Linked DNA regions of Rattus norvegicus. The protein of the gene in region 3 purifies or fractionates together with the protein of the main gene of each other region. This does not show direct contact. Links are inferred from orthologs where the notes say so. Each region holds a gene or a part of one and is shown on either strand. Other genes may lie near its edges.

Region 1 (3,746 bases), about 11 Mb from region 3:
CTTCTCTGAGTCCTCCTCAAGTAATGTTTCCACCACTAAAAATTGGATCTACAAGAGCTCAGATATACTGGTAATAAAAAAAGTCAGGGGCTTCCAAGTGGGCCCCAGGCCCCTTTTAAAGTAGGCCCACTTCTGTCCTGGGCCAACTCCCCTGTGCACTACAATCCTTCCAGGGGCAGGGATTCAGCCTGGTGCTTCTCTTCTGAGTGTCACCACCTACTCTACTTCTCCGTTCCTCTAAGCCCAAGACTGGCTGTGGAGTAGGACACCAGCTTCCCCCTATCCTTGCTGTCCCTGCAAATAAACAAACAGACTCGTCTAATTCCTAAAAGTATGAGAGAATAGAAGGAAAAACAAAAACAAGCGAACAAAAAAGGCACCAATATAGTGGCAGAGATCAGGGTTATAGTAATTGTCTCTACTTCAAAACGCCTGCCTCAAAATAACCAATCAAATGAGCTACATATTGCGTATGTCCAAATATGTATACAGTACACACTAAGCCATTCCCATCCTTACACAGACATACACCCTGTGCTTTTCAAAACACTTATAACAGGAGTCCAAAAATAGAAGTAGCTTCTCATTTTAGAATCTTTCCTTGAACTTAAAAAGTATTTAAAACCTTGCTTTTTAATAGATGCCAAGAAACGCCGAAAATATTCTATTCGATGTAAATGAGGACTCACAGTAAAAAAAAAAAAAAAAAAAAAAAAAAAAAACCTATTGAGATTTACACGATAGGTCTGTCAAAAGCGGCCAGTATTGTAGAAACAATAAAATCTCTACATGTCTCTACACTCACCATGTTAATAAAATTCTATAAACTGAATTTTAAAACCGGGATACCTCCTTTTTAGAAACAACTTTGACTATTTAGAATGTCAAAATTATACAGGCCCTCTTTTTCAAACAGAAAATTCCCCATGTTCTGCGATAATTTATATTCTAATAGGCTTCAGAGTAGCAAAATAAATACGTTACTTAAACATTGCTACAAATCACAGGACTCAAAGAAATGAACTTAAAGTCTGCCTTCCTGCAAGGGACCTGTGACCAGGTGGAGACGGATCAAAAAGGCCACTGACTTTTTAAATGTTTTTAAAAGACAATACTATATATCTACCACACCACAAATTTAGGGCCAGAAACAGACAAAGATCAGGATACCCCGTTTGTGTAAAGATATTCAGGCACTCGAGTAAAAATGCGTTGCTGGGCTCGCCTCCCAACTACTTAATTGTAAAATATTACAGAAATGGAACAAAAACCAGACGTGAAACCTTGGCCTGACCCTTCCGGACATCCGTTACTAAGAAAGTTTGATCTATTACGATCCTACAGCGATACTTTTTCCCCAGGGGGACCGAATGACATCGCGGCCTTTCCTCCGTCCCTTCCCCCTCCCCGTCCCCGTCCCCGCCCCCTCCCCGCACACCAACACCACAATGCGGCCAACGTCTCCGCGCCCGGCTGGGGAGGGGGACACCGCGCCGGCCACGCACTGAATAGCAGCGGCCGGCGACCCCCTTCCATAATTCATCCCCCGAAGCAGGCGTCGCGGACCACGTCGCCGCTGCCGCCGCGGCCGCCACCGATCCCTCGCCGCAAGCCGCGGCTCAGCCGGGTCGCGCCCCACCGCGGACACCGCCTGGCTGGCCGCCCCGCCGTCCCGCGTCGCGCGGGGGCCGCGGGCCGCGGACGCGCGGGACTCACCGGGTGGAGGTGCCCTTCCGCACATCGCACATCATGCACTTGAAGGCCTCGGCGCTGTTCCGGAAGGTGCAGACGCTGCAGTCCCAGTAGCCCTCATCCGAGGCGGGCTTCGGCTGCCGCTTCGGCCTGCAGGACACAACCGGACACGACGCAGCGCGGGGTCAGCCGCAGGCCGCGCCCGGCCCCGTGCCCCGCCCCGCCCGGCCCGCGACCCCCGCCCCGCCCGGCGCCGCGCGGGGGAGGGGAGCGCGGCCGCTGACCCCGGCCGCCATCGCGGCCCATTGTGGGCAGCGGCGCGCGGCGCCGCACCCCCTCTCCACACACACACACACACACGCACACACACACACACACACACACACACACGCGCGCGCCCCGGGCCGCGCCACCGGGCCGCGGGCGCTCCGCCGGCGGGCGCCCTACCTGGTGGGGCTCTTCTTGTCGCCCATGCTCGCTGCCGACGCGCGCGAGGCCGCGGCCCGTCTGTCAGCGCCGAGGCGAGGGGCCGGCGGAAGCGCGGAGGCGAGGGGGCGGGGAAGGCCGCGCCGCGAGCTGCAGCCGCCGCCGCCGCCGCCACCGCCGCCGCCGGATCCCACGCAGCCTCCAGCTGTCGGGGAAACTCCTGCCCGCGCGCACGTGACCCGCGCCGGCCAACCAGCGGCCGCGCCGGAGACTTCAAACGCGGGGAGCGCGGCCCAGCACCCGCGGCGAGTTCGCGGCGCCGCCTCCCTCCTGCTCACCCGCTCGCCGCCCGGAGCGCTCAGGCCGTGGCTCGCACGCCCGGAGGGGCGCGGTGGCTGGCGCCCGCAGACACACGTGCGCCCAGCGCGGCGGGGACCGTCGTCCTTCATTGGGGGTAGCGACCCAGAGGCTCGGGAAAGGTTCGGTGCCCTGCTCTGACTTACATAATTCGAACGTGACGAAACCAGGGTCTGATCCTGTTTTAATTCCAGAGGCGTCCTCTTGGCCTCACGGGGCTCTGCAGTGGCTTGTTATAAAACGGACGTTCGTGAGCTTTCCTAAGACGAATGAGGTTGCTTGTGTCCTGGACACCACCTCCCCAGCCTCGTTACTTCAGCCTATCAGAGACACACCTCGCCTGTTAGACCCAAACAACCATCTCGCTGGTCCTTTAAGCTCTGCTCCCACCTCCCCAACCTAGCGGGTACCCCACAACCAGAGTTAGCGTGCCATCGCTCTGATCGAGAGGCGACCTTAGCGTGCCAAGTCAGGAGAGCTGCTCCTTTGAAGAAAGGGTAGATGAAATCCATCCTTTCGCGGAGCCCTGCCTTTACTGCCTTACTTGGGTGTGCTGATGGAGGCGGTGTAGCTTAGCGTTAGGCTTAACTAACTGAAGAGGACCCAGTTCAGGCACTGAGTACTTAACAGTTGATCTGTGTGACTCCTAGTTGGGATACACTATAAAGGGTGTTTAGAAAATCCAGCTGGACTAAAGCAGGATAAAGCAAATTTTCATCATAATACTCAGAGGGGGGTGGCAACTAAAAACTTAGGAGTTAATTATTTATGAAGTCCTTAGTATTTTGAACTATATTGTCCGTGGGTAATTTAAATAGGAAAGCAGCTAAAAACCGCAGCTAAGGGAGACTGCTGTATTGATGTATTACTTACCAAAAACATCAAAAGTTAATAACCGAAGGGGGAATGCTGACCTTTTATCATTGGGAATTAGAGATTAATTGGGGTAATTAAGAGGGAACCGGGCTACCAGATTCTGAGAGAAGAAACTTTTTTTTTTTCTTTCGGAGCTGGGGACCGAACCCAGGGCCTTGCGCTTCCTAGGTAAGCGCTCTACCACTGAGCTAAATCCCCAGCCCCCTGAGAGAAGAAACTTAAAATGAAGTATAGCAGAACGGGCAAGCATATGGCTCAGCGGTGGAGCACTTTTGAAAAATCATTTTAAAAAATTGTTTTATGTGGGGTCTGCTTGGTTGTTTAGTTTTTTTTTGTTTTTGTTTTTGTTTTTTTTTGCAAAATAGACTTGATCTAGTTGAGTATAAAAGTTATAT
Region 2 (3,646 bases), on a different chromosome or scaffold from region 3:
CAGGTCCCACATCAGGGCTCCATCCTGTGCGTGGTCTGTCCCTCCAGGGCTGTACTGCCACTGGGACAGTAGCGGATGTGGAAGTGAAGTGATTCTCTTTAAAGGTCAACAGTGTATCACTTTTTAAAAACACTGTTGTGACCATGTCTCTCTCCCTTCAGTTTAGAATCACCTGTGCCCAAGCTCTCCTGAGGGACCTAGTGACTGTTCCTGGTGTGATTTAGTGAGGGGACACATTTGCTGTGCCTCCTGACCTGAAACCTGCACCATGGTTTCCTTTTGACACAAGCCCATCAGTCAGTCTGAGCATTTGCCTTATGTTATGGTAGCTTACCAAAATCAGCCCTGAAAATTCCTAAGTTTACACTAAATGTGCCCTGCTCTGATGCCAGCAGACGCCTTTAGAACAGTGGTGCCTAGTGTGTGGTCCGGATCAGACCCATGCTGATTTCTGCCCTTCGGATGTCTGTCCGTCTTCCCAGACATTTAAAGGCACAGGTGTGTGAACTGGCCTCGTACCTGTTCTTTTCTGACCTGACAAACACTTGATACTTGCCAATGTCCTTGATATATTAGGGCGGAGTCCCTGCTGCCTATGGTGGGGCTGTGGGAACAGTGGGCCTCTGGGGCCTTAGGCCTTTCCTCTGGAAGTGTCTGGATTCACAGTCGGCTCCCAGGCTCTAACAGTGTCCATTTTCTGCTGTTTGGAAGGAAGCGGAACAGGAAAGGTGAGAAGAATGGCAAAGGCCTGCGGCATTTCTCCATGAAGGTGTGTGAGAAGGTGCAGAGGAAAGGGACGACCTCCTACAATGAGGTGGCCGACGAGCTGGTTGCCGAGTTCAGCGCCGCTGACAACCACATCTTACCCAACGAGTCCGCCTACGACCAGAAGAACATCCGGCGGCGTGTGTACGATGCCTTAAATGTGCTGATGGCCATGAACATCATCTCCAAGGAGAAGAAGGAGATCAAGTGGATCGGCCTGCCCACCAACTCTGCTCAGGAGTGCCAGAACTTAGAGGTACACTGCCTAAAGCCGCTGCGTTGTCTTTGGTCACATGAGAGGACTATTCCAGGTTGCCGAGTGGACGAGACAAAGGTCCCTTTGCATTTGGTAGTCCCTGTTAAAAGAGAGAGTTTACGTGTGTGTGTGTGTGTGTGTGTGTGTGTGTGTGTGTGTGTGTGTGTGTGTGTGTGTGTGTGTTCACTCGCACACGTACGTACGTACGTGAGAAAGGAAAGGATCAGTGTGCTGTTGGAGTTACAGGAACACTGACCTCCATCCAGAGCTTTGGTTGTGTCTGTTGTACTGTTGTGGCTTGTCAGTTGTTCTTGGTGAAAGCCTGACACAGTGAGTTTGTCCTTACGCATGCTGATGGGTAAACCAACCCCAACCCCACCCCCGTTCTGTCTGCAGGTAGAGAGGCAGCGGAGGCTGGAGAGGATCAAACAAAAGCAGTCACAGCTCCAGGAGCTCATCCTGCAGGTATGGCCTTTCTAGGGACGCCCACCTTCCCCCGGGAAACAGTCTGTTGGCCACACAGGCCTTGTTGTCAGGGAGGCTTGACTGTGAGCATAAGCACTCCTTGGCATGACAGCCGAGGGAATTTTAAGTCTGCACTGGGCATGACATATCCTCTGTAGATAGATGTTGGTTGTCACAGTTACTGCATGGGGAAAGCATGGTGGTTAAGGTTGGTCGTGTCCATGTGAAGTAGCCCTGAGAGACTTGTCTTGTAAGAGGCCTGGGGATTCAGTGAAGATAGTGTATACAGGGCTCATGGCAGAGCAGACTGCGATGGGCCAGAACCTTCCAGAAGGCATAGCGGTGGTACTGGACATGGGGGTGACTGGCCACCAGCCTGGGATGATCGTAGTTTCCGGGGCACCTAATGGTCAGAGCTGGAGATCCCAGCATTATCCGGCCCCTCACAAGGCCTTGTTAACTGCCTCAGACACAACGTAACCGATGAAGAAGTGGTGTCAGGACCTAGGGCTTGGTAACATAGGCTCTTCCTTCCCTGTGTCCTCAGCCTGAAGGTGGCATGGTAGGGCCCTTACCAAGATCTGGGAAATCTTGGCTCCAGAGGGAAAAAAGTAAGCTGGGTAGGTAGTGGACCAACCCACGCCTCATTTCCTCCCCTCGCTCTTCTTGGTTGAGGTTTTTATGTCGTTGCCTGTCCCCATATGGAGATCAGGGCCTCCTCCTGTATGTCATGTCTTTATGAGAACACTGCCACTGTAGGGAGGGAGAAGTGTGGTTGGCAGGCTTCGATCAGAGTCTTGTGGCCACTTGGTCACTTCAGTACTGGACCATTGGTTCTGGGTCCATTCCTCAGAACTGCAGAGGTCCCTCATGCACTGCAAGGACCGAGTGTCCTCTAGCAGGTCATTCCTGTGACTGCTTTCCCCGTGCTCCTTGTCCCCTATAGGCTGTGAGCAGATGTCACAGGCTGCTACAGCCGATCTCTCAACACTCAGGTTCCCACTATCTGCAGGAAGGAAGGGATCGTGTTACTGTTATTGACATCTATCGGGGCCATGTTTGTCTTTTTCAGCAAATTGCCTTCAAGAACTTGGTGCAGAGAAATCGCCAAGCGGAGCAGCAGGCCCGCAGGCCACCGCCTCCCAACTCTGTCATCCACTTGCCCTTCATCATTGTCAACACCAGCAGGAAGACAGTCATCGACTGCAGCATCTCCAATGACAAGTTCGTCTTCAGTGGGCCCTCGAAATGTAGCTCCTCGGGGAAAGAAACAGGCATTTGTCATCAGGATTCAGTCTTATGGCTGCTGAGTAACAGCAGTTGTGGTCTCTGGTGGTCCTAGAACATGTACATGTGCAGGTAGCGCTGTGTCCCGGCCCAGGGCCATGCCTAGAGCAAGACAGGTTGTGGAATTATCCAACGTGTCTTTCCTTCCCTGGTGTGAACTGTTGTAGAGGAGTTCAGTTGTAGGCCCTGGACGGGAGGTGTTGGGAGGGGCTGCTGCCTGGTCCCCACCCACAGGACTTACTGCCTGCTCTTGGAAGGAGGCCACATCATCCTCACAGTGCCTTTCCCCAACAGATTTGAGTATCTGTTCAACTTTGACAACACGTTTGAAATCCACGATGATATCGAGGTGCTCAAGCGCATGGGCATGGCCTGTGGGCTGGAGTCGGGCAGCTGCTCTGCTGAAGACCTCAAGGTGGCGAGAAGTCTGGTACCAAAAGCTCTAGAACCGTATGTGACAGGTCAGTTGTGCCCTGCGACTGGCCATGCTGCGACCCAGAATCCCTAGTGCCTGGGTGTCTGCTGAGGTCGGGCTGATCGTTGGTCACATGACCAACCTTGGGTGTTGGGCTCCATGAGTAGCACCTGTGGTTTTCATGGTGCAAGTGTCACGGGGTGAGGATCTCTCTATCCTGTAAGATATTACCTGCACTTGAGCCTTCCTGCAGCAGATGCAGGCCTGGCTGTGCCTGTAGCTCTGTGTGAGTCTGAGGGGGGAGGTGGGACGCTCTGCATGCGTGCTTAGTCCCTGTCCCTACTCTCTGGTGCTGCTTGTCCTCCTAAGGGGACAGGCATGCTCCTGAGGAACCAACCACTCCTGGCTCTTACGTAGAGAGAGGGCAGGGAGAGCAAGCTGGCAGGGCACCTGCAGGT
Region 3 (3,746 bases):
CCAAGTAGGAGCTGCTCTCACTGCCCGCACTGCTGTTGTAACTCCGGAAGCTATCGTAGCCTCCGAAGAGTTCCAAGTCATCATCTTCCTCCTCTTCCATTGGCTCTGAAGATGGCGTCTCCTAGTGGGAAAACAATCCGTGCTCAGCTTGACAAGAGAGGTTACAAATTGGCTAACCCACTATGAGCTGGGGTGGCAGTGGCAAGCCCCTTTAATCCCAGCAGTGGGGAGGCAGAGGCAGGTGGATCTCTGAGTTTGAGGCCAGCCTGGTACAAAGCTAGTTCTAGGACAGCCAAGGCTACACAAAGAAATCCTGTCATGAAAAACCAATATACATACATACATACATACATACATACATACATACATACATGCATATGTGCTGAACATTCATTTAAAACTTCTAGGGGTTTGGGGATTTAGCTCAGTGGTAGAGCGCTTGCCTCGGAAGCATAAAGCCCTGGGTTCGGTCCCCAGCTCCGAAAAAAAGAACCAAAAAAATAAAAAAAAAATAAAATAAAAAAAATAAAACTTCTAGGCGGCTAGGTATTGTGGTGACATCATTAATCCTAGCACTCTGTGGTAGACCTATCACTCTGAGCTTGAAACCAGCCTGGTCTACACAGCTAGTACCCCCCATACTCCCACCTCTCCCTTTCACTCTCTCTTTTCTTTTTGAAAAAAGGGTTTCTCTCAGAAGCCCTGGAACTAGCTATGTAGGCCATGTCAACCTTGAATGCAGTGATCTGCCTGCCTCTACTTCCCGAGTATTGGGACTAAAAGTGTGTGCCACCACCATCTGGCTAATAGATCCTCTTTAAAAAAAAAAAAAAAAAAAAAAAGGGGTTGGGGATTTAGCTCAGTGGTAGAGCGCTTGCCTGCGCAGGCCCTGGGTTCGGTTCCTAGCTCCGAAAAAAAAGAAAAGAAAAAAAAAAAAAAAGAAGAAGAAGAAGAAAGAAAAAGGCAGGTGTGGTAGTGAATGCCTTTAATCCCAGCACTCAGGAAGCAGAGGCAGACGGATCTATGTGAGTTTGAGGACAGCCTGGTCTACAAAACAAGTTCCCTGAAAATCAAAACCAAAACAGGAAAAAGAGAAAGAAAGGAAGGAAGGAAAATGGGTTGTTTCCTCTAATGACTGCGTGGCTAACTGCAAGCTGTGATTGGTTTGAGCCTCTGCTCAGCACCAGGACCTCTTGTATTGATGGCTTGGGTGTAGGGCAAAATTCCAACTTCAAAGTACAGTGTCTATTGAAAAAACATTGCTTACACACCACTACTGGGTCAAAAAACTATGCCAGGGATCAGAGATCTATACAATAATGTGGAAATACCCTAAGCACCTCAAACATTTTTCAATGGGTTCGAAGGCATTTGAAACTCATTCTTCCCTCTTCTGTATATGCACATCCAAATGATTTCAATTCAGAAACAAATTTAAGGCTGGCAGTGGCCCTCTTGTTGCTGATGCCTAGCCTACTGTCCCCTGCAGTGTATTCAATAAACCTGTTTTCTTCCAAAAAGGAAAACAGGGGGAAAGAAAAAAAAAAAGGCTGAGAAAATTGAGACCCAGGTTATCCCAAGGAGGCTTTGAGTCAAATGACTCCCAGAGACTAATTGCATAGCGGTATGCACCACAGCCGTGAGCTTAGCTTATTTCAATCAGCTAAGGATCTTAAGGTCTGTGGGACTCAATTTTCTCACCTACGGGTCACAGAATGTGAGGTAGAGATGGGACGCTACATAAAAACGTACCTAACTTGTAGTGGAAAAGTGGGGGGTGGGGGAGGGCGAGGGCGAGGGAGGGGCGGGGAGCAAAACAAAGGTAAGGAGAAAGAGGCTTTGAGCCAAGGTTCAAATGAGATCTCTGGTGCTTCCTAGCTGTATGATCCACAGCAAGTCAACTGCATTGCCTCAGTTTCCACCAAATGAGGATAATACCACTAATAATATTCTGGGAAGGGATGATAAACGTAAAACACTCAAAACAGTGCTCAATAAAAATTAGCAATTATGACCGCTTGGAAATGGAGACCTCAAATGCAAGATGCGGTGGGTCATCGGCTGCTGTGCCACACATAAAGCATAACAGAGTTTTGGAAACTGACATTCTTGGTGACAACCTCTTGCACTTTCCAGCTGTGTCAATCCAAAAGGCTGTTTTAAGCCCTCACTAAAGAAGATGGCCGTGAGTACACTGGGAGACCTGCACGTGAACGCTCCCCGCGTGGAATAATAACCAACTCTGATCTCCCTCCCTTTACTTCCCGCGTGGAAGGGACAGGCCGCCCAATCCTAAAGCTCAGAATCATGAAACCAGGCGTTGCCTCCCTTCCTTCGTCATCAAACCAAAAGGAACCTCTGTAGCCTCCGGCCCGGACTAAACTCCGTACCTCAGTTTATCAACCCTGCAACTCTCCACCACCCAGACATCGCTAAACTCCGCGTCCTCCGAGTGAGGCGTTCGGGGCTCCCTTTCCCCCTTTGGACTGAACCCTTTACCCTCTTACCTCAGTGCCCCGCGGCTTCTCCATGATACCAAATTCAATTTCCTCAACCGTCACCAGGTGCAGGAAGCCATATTGCCCTCACCGCTCTCCGAGAGTGTGCTCATTGGCTACCCCGCCCGAGCTGCGGGCCAATCATGCCGCAGGAAATAGGAAGCCGGTTCCGCGCTCGCCCGCGCCCCGCCCCCATTAAGGAGGGGCTGGGTAGCCCGGGCGATTATGGGAGTTGTAGTTTTCCCCCGGGTGCACCAGAAGGGGCGTTGCCTTAGTAACGTGAAAATCTCCTTGGAGGGTACTTCTCAGTTTTGTCCTCTTTAAGTCAAATTTCAAACCTTCTGAGCGCTTAGGATGGACGCGGCTAGGCCCCAAACAAAGCTTCGCACTCTCCCTAGGTAGGAAGTAAAGGTGTTCTTGTACCGGAATGCCTAGCAGAAATGCCTAATCCCTCTTTCAACTCAGGCAGAAACAGAAACCCTGTGTCTGTCTGCTTGCTAGGGCTGGTTTAGCAGGTAAAGGTTCTTGCTGCATGAGCCTTTCTACCTGAGTTCAAATCCCCGAGCCCACTACATAAAGCTGGAAGGCGAATACCTACCCCACAAAGTTGTGCTGACCTCCGAGTCATAAAACAAACAGACACAAGCTAAATAAATAAATGTTTAAAAAAAAAAAAAGCCTAGGACTGGAGAAATGGTTCCGTAGTTACTGGTCACTTTTCCAGAGGTACCAGGTTCGATTCCCAGCACCCACGTGACAACTCACAAGCATCTATAAACCCTGTTATAGTGGATCCTACCTTCTCTTCTGATCTCTGACAATGCCAGACACTGACATGGTACATATATATACATTCAACCAAACACCCACATCATAAATAAATTATAGTGATATATGTTATAACCTTCAGTCTAGGGGAGATGACTTAGCTAGTTGAATGATTGCAACCAGAGCATGGTACCCTAAGTTCTGTCCCCAGTACATGATGGAGCGTGCCTGTAATCCCAGGATTGGGTAAGCAAAAGGAGGGTTCTATGGCCTGCTGGTCAACCAGTGTAGCTCCAGTGGGTGGCAAGAGATTGAGGAAGACACTGAAGTCAAAGGTTTTGCCAAGGAGTATACACATGGAGTGAGTCCCCAGTACACCCTCCTTCCACACCCTGGGTTCTCCTTGGGAATTGTGTGGCCTTACAAACGTCTGAAATCAGACCAGTCTGGGTTAACACTCCCGGAGCCACACCCAGCTCC

Evidence for each region.
Region 1: the proteins of L3mbtl2 (region 3) and Yaf2 purify together in Homo sapiens (affinity purification with mass spectrometry; 5 studies listed by BioGRID and IntAct, counting the BioPlex papers as one, with this or other methods). This does not show direct contact. The link is inferred for Rattus norvegicus from reciprocal best matches to the Homo sapiens genes L3MBTL2 and YAF2.
Region 2: the proteins of L3mbtl2 (region 3) and Tfdp1 purify together in Homo sapiens (affinity purification with mass spectrometry; 4 studies listed by BioGRID and IntAct, counting the BioPlex papers as one, with this or other methods). This does not show direct contact. The link is inferred for Rattus norvegicus from reciprocal best matches to the Homo sapiens genes L3MBTL2 and TFDP1.

Annotation. Positions count from the first base shown.
Region 1 is NC_086025.1:126,376,495-126,380,240, forward strand, and holds the start of Yaf2 (YY1-associated factor 2), read right to left. Parts: upstream 2,166-3,746; coding exon 2,140-2,165; intron 1,843-2,139; coding exon 1,717-1,842; intron 1-1,716. UniProt on the Homo sapiens protein: Binds to MYC and inhibits MYC-mediated transactivation. Also binds to MYCN and enhances MYCN-dependent transcriptional activation. Increases calpain 2-mediated proteolysis of YY1 in vitro.
Region 2 is NC_086034.1:82,868,620-82,872,265, reverse strand, and holds part of Tfdp1 (transcription factor Dp-1), read left to right. Parts: intron 1-392; exon of another isoform or gene 393-498; intron 499-711; coding exon 712-1,021; intron 1,022-1,417; coding exon 1,418-1,486; intron 1,487-2,558; coding exon 2,559-2,710; intron 2,711-3,067; coding exon 3,068-3,234; intron 3,235-3,646. UniProt on the Homo sapiens protein: Can stimulate E2F-dependent transcription.
Region 3 is NC_086025.1:115,065,345-115,069,090, reverse strand, and holds the start of L3mbtl2 (lethal(3)malignant brain tumor-like protein 2), read right to left. Parts: upstream 2,551-3,746; 5' UTR 2,532-2,550; coding exon 2,508-2,531; intron 122-2,507; coding exon 1-121. UniProt on the Homo sapiens protein: Putative Polycomb group (PcG) protein. PcG proteins maintain the transcriptionally repressive state of genes, probably via a modification of chromatin, rendering it heritably changed in its expressibility.